Linked DNA regions of Tribolium castaneum. The protein of the gene in region 1 binds, or shares a complex with, the protein of each later gene. Links are inferred from orthologs where the notes say so. Each region holds a gene or a part of one and is shown in the gene's direction. Other genes may lie near its edges.

What was found.
Region 2: mitochondrial import inner membrane translocase subunit TIM50-C (region 1) and mitochondrial import inner membrane translocase subunit Tim23 share a complex: the UniProt entries of both Homo sapiens proteins name them as parts of the TIM23 complex. The link is inferred for Tribolium castaneum from reciprocal best matches to the Homo sapiens genes TIMM50 and TIMM23.

What each region holds. Positions count from the first base shown.
Region 1 is NC_087399.1:10,216,483-10,221,401, reverse strand, and holds mitochondrial import inner membrane translocase subunit TIM50-C, read left to right. Parts: upstream 1-2,429; 5' UTR 2,430-2,603; coding exon 2,604-3,725; 3' UTR 3,726-3,786; downstream 3,787-4,919. UniProt on the Homo sapiens protein: Essential component of the TIM23 complex, a complex that mediates the translocation of transit peptide-containing proteins across the mitochondrial inner membrane. Has some phosphatase activity in vitro; however such activity may not be relevant in vivo.
Region 2 is NC_087394.1:25,694,352-25,699,364, reverse strand, and holds mitochondrial import inner membrane translocase subunit Tim23, read left to right. Parts: upstream 1-2,696; 5' UTR 2,697-2,819; coding exon 2,820-2,883; intron 2,884-2,934; coding exon 2,935-3,175; intron 3,176-3,221; coding exon 3,222-3,503; intron 3,504-3,549; coding exon of another isoform or gene 3,550-3,559; exon of another isoform or gene 3,560-3,821; intron 3,822-3,851; coding exon 3,852-3,861; 3' UTR 3,862-3,979; downstream 3,980-5,013. Other genes in the region: centrosomal protein 43, read right to left, coding at 9-860, 912-959, 1,011-1,091. UniProt on the Homo sapiens protein: Essential component of the TIM23 complex, a complex that mediates the translocation of transit peptide-containing proteins across the mitochondrial inner membrane.

The sequences.
Region 1 (4,919 bases):
TGGCTCCCATTTCTATATAAATTAAGTTCAAGTAAATTTCATAGAAGGAAATTATTAGTACATTTTTCAAAAACACGTTAGGTGTTATTTTTGCGGATTTTTGTAGATGATGTAAAAAAGGTCTATTGAAAAATTTACTTGTTGAGCTATTTACAAATCCTCGTAAATTATTTTAAAATTTTAAGTTGTGTGTTTGCCTAATATAAACTTGTTTTTTAGAGACAAATTAAAATTACATATTTTTCAATAAATGATAACTATTGTCAAATTATTGTATGGTAGCGCTCAGCTCCGTTTGCGTGTGCGTCATCTGACATTTCTGTCACTACGTTTACATAGCAGGGGCATAGCGGTCAAAAACTGTCAAATATTTTTTGAGGTTACGAAGTGTTTAAATTATGAGTTGTTACAAAAAATACAGATTCACAAAACAAGAACTAATAAACGCAGAATCAAAAACCTAACGAAACGCAAATCACAAAACACAATAAACGAACAGAAAATACTTGCGATTAACACCGATAACACTTTCGACAACCATGCGATGACGTCTATAATTTACTGTCAATGTCAGTTTGACAAATTCGTGGCACTTGACGGTGTTGTCGAAGTGCACATGTAAATTAATGTTCAAGGATACCACCCTTAGATAGCCCTTAGCTGTTTAAATTTGCATTATTTTTGATAATTTTTTATAGCTTTATGTTGGTAATGAAAAAATGAAATTGATGACGCACACGCAAATCGAGCTGACCGCCACTATAGCAACGTTTTCTTTGTACACCATTAAATTTTTATTATGATTACCCCAAACCGCACGGACCCTTCAAGCTAATCACTGAGGCAAGCTTATTGTGTGATTTATTGCAGACAAGTTGTACTCTTTCAGAGGAACTAATCGGTATCGTAAATATTTTCGGGTCACCCTTGTCAAGACAGCTTATTGTGAGGGTTGCTTATGCTAAACACCATTATCTGTTGTAAAACTTTATGGTGTACAAACAAAATGTTGCTACAATAATTTAAGACGATACGTAACGAAAAGAACCCTTAACATATTGCTTCCCTTTCTCTCAGGCTCGACCATATTTTATCTAATATCTCTAAAACTACTTATCGTAAGAGAAAAGTGAAGGCTAATTTGGGATCCTAAAACAATTTTACGTTTAATATAAATTTTCGATTATTGTGATCTTGATGTTTTTTTTATTAACACAAACACGATTAAAAAGAATGACACCATTATCAACCGTACCGGATAGTCAAAGTACGACTAAAATCTTTTAAATCATGAATTTGGACAAACAGCTTGGTTTACAAAACTGTCCAAGTAATTTGCACAATATGCAGTTGGTTTATAAACTAGCCAAACATACACATTAACCATATCATATCAAAAGATTTGTGGCTACGCTTTTAGGGGTGTCATTCTTTTTAATCGTGACTGTACGTATCACGTATACATGGTGATCCCGCACAGCTTCGTCTTCTATATCTCATTTAATATTAAAGTTGGACTTTTGATATTTTGTAGGCGTTATTTATGCTGTAGGACGTATTTCAGGAAAACATTTTCATGTGACATACGTTGGTATGTAACATTTACTTACCGCCCACGGACTGTAAGTAAAATGTTACTGCAAGGTAACGATGTAAACTTACAGCAGACTAAAAAGTGCCGATTACAATGAAAGATATTTGTCAGTGAACGATGACTTACAAAACAGTAGGTATTGCAAAAAATTAATAATAAATAAGAAATGATGCTTTCTTGATGACTTTATTAGTATGTAGGTCTTAAACAAGGTCTAACTGAGGCTAGATGCACTAATCAAGTTGGATTGATCTAAATTATACAGGGTGTTTGCAATATATTTCCAAACTTTTTGATTAATATTTATGTTTTTATTTATTTTTGGTAGAAAAATAAAATCTACTTACAAAAAGGTAGACAAATTTTAAATCGTCGAAGAGTTTACAATAAACGTCGAAAATAGAAAATAACATACCGATCTCTTTCTTTAGATTTACAGACTGATCCAGAAATACTGAGTCTGTTGGCAACACTGGACTTAAATTTTTAAGGATACCAATGGAGTACTCTTCTAGTTAACAACAATCTTGTAGGGTTGTACGTCAAATAATTGTCAAAAAAAATCGAATTCGGTTGCAATGTTGCAATTTATGAGTACAAATACTTCCAAATGTGTTGCCAACAGACTCAGTATTTCTGGATCAGTCTGTAGCTCATTTCACAAGTGAGATTTTTTTGGAAAATGTATACATAAACAATTTTGTCTTTTTTAATTTTCCAAATTAGTCGCTTTTTCCAGGAAATTAAATTAAATACATCGAAAATGACTATTTTTGAATTTTTTTTAATTGAATTCAATTCAAAAAGACAAAAAACACACTACGTGCCACTGCTACCAACACAATTTCGTTTAATTCAACCATGCCAAAAAAATTATAAATGGTTCCGTAGCCCCAGTGCAAAGTCCCATCGTGCAGGTTTTTATCATTTTATGTAACAAAACCCCCGGTGGAATTTTTCCCCACGATTTGAACCGCAACGTGTTTGACAGTTGCATCCTAACCTCAAAATGTACAGATCTACTTTTAGAACTTTGAACGTGTTTAGTAATTTATTTCGACACAAAACCTCCCTAATTCTCACACGGAACGGCCCCCGAGTGCTGTTCAAGTCACCACTAGTCATAATTCAACATCGGAATTACGCCGAAGATGCAAAAAAGCAGCCGGTCAAGTCGCCCCTCGGTAGTCTCATAGCCAAAGAAACGAACGAGAAAGCAAATTCGGAGGAAGAAGAAGCAAGAAAACAGCGAGAGGCGTCATGGCGAACAATGAAACTCACACTAATCTTCTTCGGAGTGTCTTTCACGTGTTTGGGTTCGTACTTGATTTTTGTCTTGGGGGCTCCGGAAAGAGACAGAGAGGGGCGCGTGATCGAAGACGACTTGTCGCACTTGCCGCTGTGGCGCCAGTATTTAATGAGAACGTACCGGGAGTTGGATAATTACAGGAGGTTGATTAAGGAGCCCTCCAGGGACAAGTTATTGCCAGACCCCCTTCAGTACCCCTATTTACAACCTAAATATACTCTTGTCTTGGAACTGACCGATGTTCTGGTGCACCCCGATTGGACTTACAACACTGGTTGGAGGTTCAAGAAGAGGCCAGGTTTAGATTACTTTCTTGAGTCTCTTCATGGACATTTCGAAATTGTTGTCTACACGGCGGAGCAAGGAATGACGGTTTTTCCCCTGATTGAGGCCATGGACCCCAAAAACCTCATCTCGTACAAGCTGGTGAGAGACGCGACGCACTTCGTAGGCGGGCACCATGTCAAAAGTCTGGACAAATTGAACCGGGATTTGAGTAAAGTTATTGTAGTGGATTGGAATCCGAATAGTGTGCAGTTCCATCCGGAGAATCTTTTGAAAGTCAGGAGATGGGAAGGGGCTGATGAGGACTTGTCTTTGGTTGATTTATCGATCTTTTTGAAGACGATAGTTGATAATAATATTGAAGATGTTAGAGAGGTTTTACTGTATTATAGCAAATATGACGATCCGATTGAAGCATTTCGAGAGAAACAGAAAAAGTTGATGGAGCTTTTGGAGGCACAAGGGGCGAAGAAAAAAGAACAGGAAGCTAAACCGAGACCGTGGGTGCCGACGATTTTCTCAAGGAAGCAGTTCTAGTTAGATTAATTTAAGGCTTGTAATTATTTCGGTAAAAATTAAAGTTTGATATGTAAATAAAGCGGGTGTTTTATTTTTCTTATACATAAAACCCTATTGATCAAGACAAAAAAATTCTTGGCCCAAAATTTGTCGTTGGTATTTAATTTAACACAGAACTCTTTTCTTATGATACTCTCAATTTGTGCTTTATATCACTTCGAAAAATTTAAATGTACTGTTGCAAAATTCTACTATGAACTGAAATGGGATATACACTATGTTCCGTCTAAACTCCACATTAGAAGTACTGAAAGTTCTAATAAAGATATTCATCTGGAAGTTGGTACTCAACCATAATCGGTTGAGTTCTTTTCAATAAAAATATTTTTAAGATGCCGGCACTTCCGGTTATACCAGAAGTTGGTATCAACTTTCTTATTTTAAAAGCTGTTTTTCACTGCGTTTTTGGATTAGTTGAGTTATTTAAAGGCCGTTTTTATCAGCTTTTCCTATACCTGACTTTAACCGTTTTCGGGATATTTAAGATTCCTTGAAAAATTTTGGTTTTGCTTAAAAAATCGGTAACTTTCTTTGTTTTAAAGATTTCGAAATCATATTTGGAGAATTAAAAGAGAAAGCAGTTATTTGTTTTCCAGTGTGTTCAAAGTAATTTAATAAACCCAAAAAATTTAAAGTTAAGTTTGAACAAATACTATTAAGAATAATCTGACGTTTCGTATTGAAAAATGTCGAACATTTGTCAAAAATGCCTTATGCATTTTATTTATTTAGTTTCTTTTCAACAGACTTTGTACTTTCAATGAGAGAGCTAATCGTTAATAACTATTTCATATTTTTTTAATGTTATTTAAAAATAAGTATTAGCTGCGATTGATGTTTGAACTAGTTCAGGATCGCTACTGCGAACAAAGCGATTATTGTTTCCCAAATTTTATCTGTTTCTTAGGCAAATACAGGATGTTTCGTTTTTATTGTTACAAATTTAAACGAGTGATAGAACATTAAATTTTAAGACAAAAGTTTCTTAGAAACATGTATCGAAAACTACTTCGTAAGGGAGCTACACCCCCTGAAAGGGCTGCTTCTTGTAGTGAGGTTTTCTTAATATAAATTAATATAATAAAGAAACCATTTTTATGTAAGAAACCATGAAATTTATGATCTATGATTTTGTCACAGTGTCAAAAAACT
Region 2 (5,013 bases), on another chromosome or scaffold:
GCCAAAACTTAGAGACTAGAATTCGTCTCCACACTTAAATTTGTCTCAATATCCGTTGAGTTACTTGATTTATTGTCACACTTTGCTTGTTGCAACTCCTCAAACAACGGCTTGCCCCCGGATAACTCGATTTCGCTCCCGGACATGAAATCCTCCTCGTAGTCGTCTTTAATTTCGAAATCGTACTCTTTGCTCGACTTTTTGCTATACAGTGAAGGCAGTAGATCAGTTCTTGATTTGTTTAAAGGTGGCAACTCGAGTTTTGTTTTAAGCTTGTCACTTTTCTTTGACTTATCTTCAGATTTTGGACTGGTGTCCTGATCCGTTGTACTATCTTCATTCGTTGATTTGTCACAGCTGCCGTTTTCTTCTTCTATGGAACTTGTTCCATTGAACGTATCATCATTTTCAGCGTCTCGCTTAATGTACGTGGAATCTAAATTATCGTTTTTATTGTTATTGATATGTGTGGAGTGCTCGCTTAAATTATGGCTGTTTTTGTTACTAAGGATGGAGTTTTCAGCTTCAGAGTCGTGTCCGTTAGTTTCCTTCAGTTCGTCGTTAACATTCAAATTGATTTTCAGCGTTTTTGACTTGATTTGAGCAACTTTAAGCAAGTGTTGGAGGACAGGACCGGAAAAACTGTCTGACGGTTTTAAGCCCAAATCTTCGATGATTTTGTCGCGTCCTTCGTACTTGTAAAAGCTGCCAACGTATGATTCAGGCTCGTAAACAGACGCAGTGAAATCGAGGTCAAAATATTCAAGGAACTCTCTAACGAGACAAAACATGAGCTGACCTTCTGGCACTTCTAAGTATGACTTGATTTTTGTGTTTAACAATGGCTGTTGCTTACTTATCTGAAACAAACGATATATTATCGTGTGAGACTGTTGGTTTCTTGGAATTACTTTAGAATCTTCGTCTAAGGCAAGAAATAGGTTCGCTCTCAACTGTGCCTGAAATAAGACTAATAAAGAAGAGGAAACAAATTTGGCATTGTTAAATACTCGTATTTTCGGGAGGCAACCGTTTAATTCGAGGGTTTGAGCCACCATGTCTCGCAATTCCACTTCTTCCTCAACTGACATTTTCCCACTTAAACACACGGTTTGCAACGAATTGTCAATCACAGCACAAACAACTGAGCAATTTCATTAAAACAACAGAAAACAAGACCTAAATGAAAAAAAATTGCGTTCCCTCAACCCCCATTTCAATCACCTGTCACTTGTCAAACGTCATTTTTAAACCAGCGGACACCAAACAAACACCTCAGCTCAATTTTTTTATTATTAAATTTACAAGTCAGTGATGTGCCGAATGTGATAGCCGTCTTGACGGCGACCGCCTTATGCTCTTCAAGACCGAAAAAATCGTATTCGGGGCTACCCCCAAGTTCAAGAATTCGACCAAAATCCTACAACATGTTGACGATTACTGGTTTGTTGATATTTCAGGTTTCAGGAAAAAATACCTGAAAACTTTTACATCCATGTGAACACCTGCCAATTCGCCTAATAATTGGAGCTCATCTTGGTGGGGCTGCAGCCGCCCGGAAAAATTTGAAGATGTCTCGGTGTGCATTTTGAAACTTGACACGCTTATGCCAAATAGCGGCTTTTTATCCGACAAATTATTAGTTGAACTCATCAAAAATTCGATCAGTTAAATGTTTTCGGTGTTATAGCCCCTTACACCAACCGCCAAACTGTCGCATTTTGACACATGTCAACAAATTTTAAATACCTGATTGAAAATTAAAAATAGCTCGATAAAGTCTCGCCATAATTACAAGATAATTTGTGATTGATTTACGTCCAAAGGTCCAAACGTTCAAAAAGTTCAATTAATTTTTACAATTTCGTGACAATGCTTACGTCCTGTGATTAGTTTGCCGAAATTATTTTAACTTAAATTTTTACTAAGTGGCCGCAATATTAAAAATCTAAATGTTGGAAGTACAAACAGCAAAGATTCGTGTACGAAAATTCAGCTTTGCAGTACAAGATCTGTCCTGTTTTTACTCTCAAGAAAAGTGCACTCATTGAACAAGTCATAGACAGAAACGCACAAGAAAGACGTAACCGTAAATTATTAAAAACGCACATCCTCATTACAAAAAATGCACGGAATAGTAATATATTCGATATTTGTTTAAAATTGTAAGAATATAAAAAAATCATTAACCAGTATTTTATTTGTTACTAAGTTTTAGATAATATGCCACTGTGATAGAGATTGCACCAATTCAAATATAAGTTTACGTGTATTACATTTCTAACAGTCACCTGTCAAGCACATATTACATACTTGCATGTAATGCCTCACAAAATAAATTTGTGCTGTAGTATAAATTGAGTTCCTATATTAAATTATAAACGATTAAATGCTCTTTTTTTATTAAAATGTTAGTCATGAGAAGTCCATTTTTAATAGAGGTAATTTAATAATAGTAGACTAAAAATTTCTGCTCCTAAAAATCCGACAAATATGTTTCTGTTTATGACATTTCTAGATTTAACCGATTCTACCAAAGAAACAATGATTGCGTCCTGTGAGTAGGTTTCCAAAATTATTTTACCCCAAATTTCAACTAAACGGCCGTAATTAAAAAAAAAACACGAATACTGCAAGTATGAGCAACAAAAAGTAACCATTTTATGCGCGAAAATTTTTCTTTATCCCCTCAAGATCCGTCCTGTATTTACCCCTTCCGACATTTTCTCGACCTTCGTGTCGCATGTGTGTGTGTGTAACAATCAAATTACCAAATTTCGGCCAAAAACTCGAAAATTTCCTGTGTCAGTGCTCAAAAAATGTCAGCCTTGAATGATACCGACATTTATTCCCAAAATTACAACACCACAAGCGGCAATTTAGGTAAAAACCCCGACATAACCTCAAACCCCGATTATATAAACCCAATTCCAGGATCTTACAAACAATTCTCGTCACCATACCTCAACTTTGACCCCAGTTACCTGCCTCAAGCCCAACCCGAGTTCATCTTCCTCGAAGGGGCTAGCAAACAACGGGGGCGATTCGAGCTAGCCTTTGGCCAAATCGGGGGCTCTTGCATGATTGGGGCCTCGGTGGGGGGCGCCTCCGGGTTTTATAACGGCTTGAAAGCGACCACTTTGGCAGGACAAACGGGGAAATTAAGACGGACACAGTGAGTTTCTTCAATTGGTAGTGTTTTTCACTGATTGTAATTGTAGGTTATTGAATCATGTTATGAAACAAGGCAGTGCCACAGCCAACACGTTCGGGTCCATAGCTGTGATTTATTCAGCGTTTGGCGTTTTCCTCTCGTGGGCACGGGGGGCTGATGACGATCTTAACACTATTATTGCAGCCACGGCAACTGGTTGTTTGTACAAGTCCACAGCTGGCTTAAGGAAATGTGGCTTAGGTGGGGCTGTGGGATTAGGAGCCTCTGTTTTGTACGCCCTCTGGAATTCGCGAGATAAATTCACACAGTTGAGGCCACTCAATCCGGCGTAAGATTCTGTTTGTTTTAGAAACGAATTTTAACATAGGTTTTAGGTTAACTTAAGTACTGATTGGCTAGACAACTAAATTATTTTAACAATTTCCATAGATAGTACAATTTATCTACATAGTAGAGCGCTTGTGTTACCAATAAATTGTCATTATTTAGATTGGACAAGCCAATTTTTGGTAGGATATAGAAAGTTATAAAAACGATTTTTACCACTTTTTTTATACTTTCTATCAACTTATCGTTTGTATATAATTTGTGCTGTGATCTACCATTGTTACATATGTAATAAAAATTGCAACTATTCTTTTTCGAAGCTTATTTTTAATTCATTATTTTTCTGCAGGCAACGGTAGCGAGCCAGGAAACCGTTTTAACCCTCTGGTTTTAACCAAGACTGTAGATAAGTGTAAATACATTTCCAAATTATGCGAAAATATTGTAAGTTATTTAATAAATTTATTCACGTTTTAAGTAGCTTGAATTATTTGCGTTAACAGTGGCCGGCATTTACAAAATTTCAGCGATTTCTTAACATCAAAAATTAAAAAAAAGAGTAGTTTTAGTTTTTTACTACTATAATAAATTTGTTTTAAAACGCTGATTACGGCGAAACTAAATCAGCTACGAGATAGTCTTGTTCTATTGTAAAGAATACATCAAAATCTATTACGTAGGAGGGTTGCATGTTTTAATCTCCCAGTTCTACAGGTGCTCAAAAACTGGCGCACCAACTCAGTGGTACGTTATTGAGAAGCAAGTGCAGATTACGGGAAAAATGTTGAAAAAATTCCCAAAGTTATATTTTAAAAAATCTGGAGCTACAAACTTATTGTGTTAACTTCTTTAGTTTTCATTATTTTTTTATGTTTTTATGTTTCATACCAGGTAATCGTTCCGTAACAAAACGATGAATAATTATTTTTAAATTTACTATCAGATTTTAGCAGTTTTTTTAATTTAAAAAAATTAAAATTCATCCAAAAATCACAATGTGTAGATGTGCCAACACTGGGAATTATTTCCTAGGAAACCGTTTCAAAAATAATTTATTTTTATTGTTGCTCAAATTCTATTGCGATCATGACTATTAGACAACGTTGCCACATATCATTTATATAAAATCCATTATTTATCAATAACTTTAATACAAAGAATTTTTTTACTATTTTTACCTTTATATGTTACCAATTCTCTACCACACACCATTGAGTTGGTGCGCCAGTTTTTGAGCACGCTGTATAATTTCAACAAATAAAAAAATGAAAATATCAAACTAAAAGTTTTAGTTCTTGGTAGTTCAGACTTAGATTTTAATATTGTTACGGTATAACAGTTGTTTCAATTGAGCGCGCAAAGTTCTATAAAAAGCGTTAAAAACACTCCTACGGTGGAATTTGAAAGAATATACAACTGGTGCAACACACACTGTCGCGGTGTATTGTTAGTTGCCTGCCACACAAAAAGGAGTGTCCAACTTAATTACAAATTCGTTGAACTTTTACGTC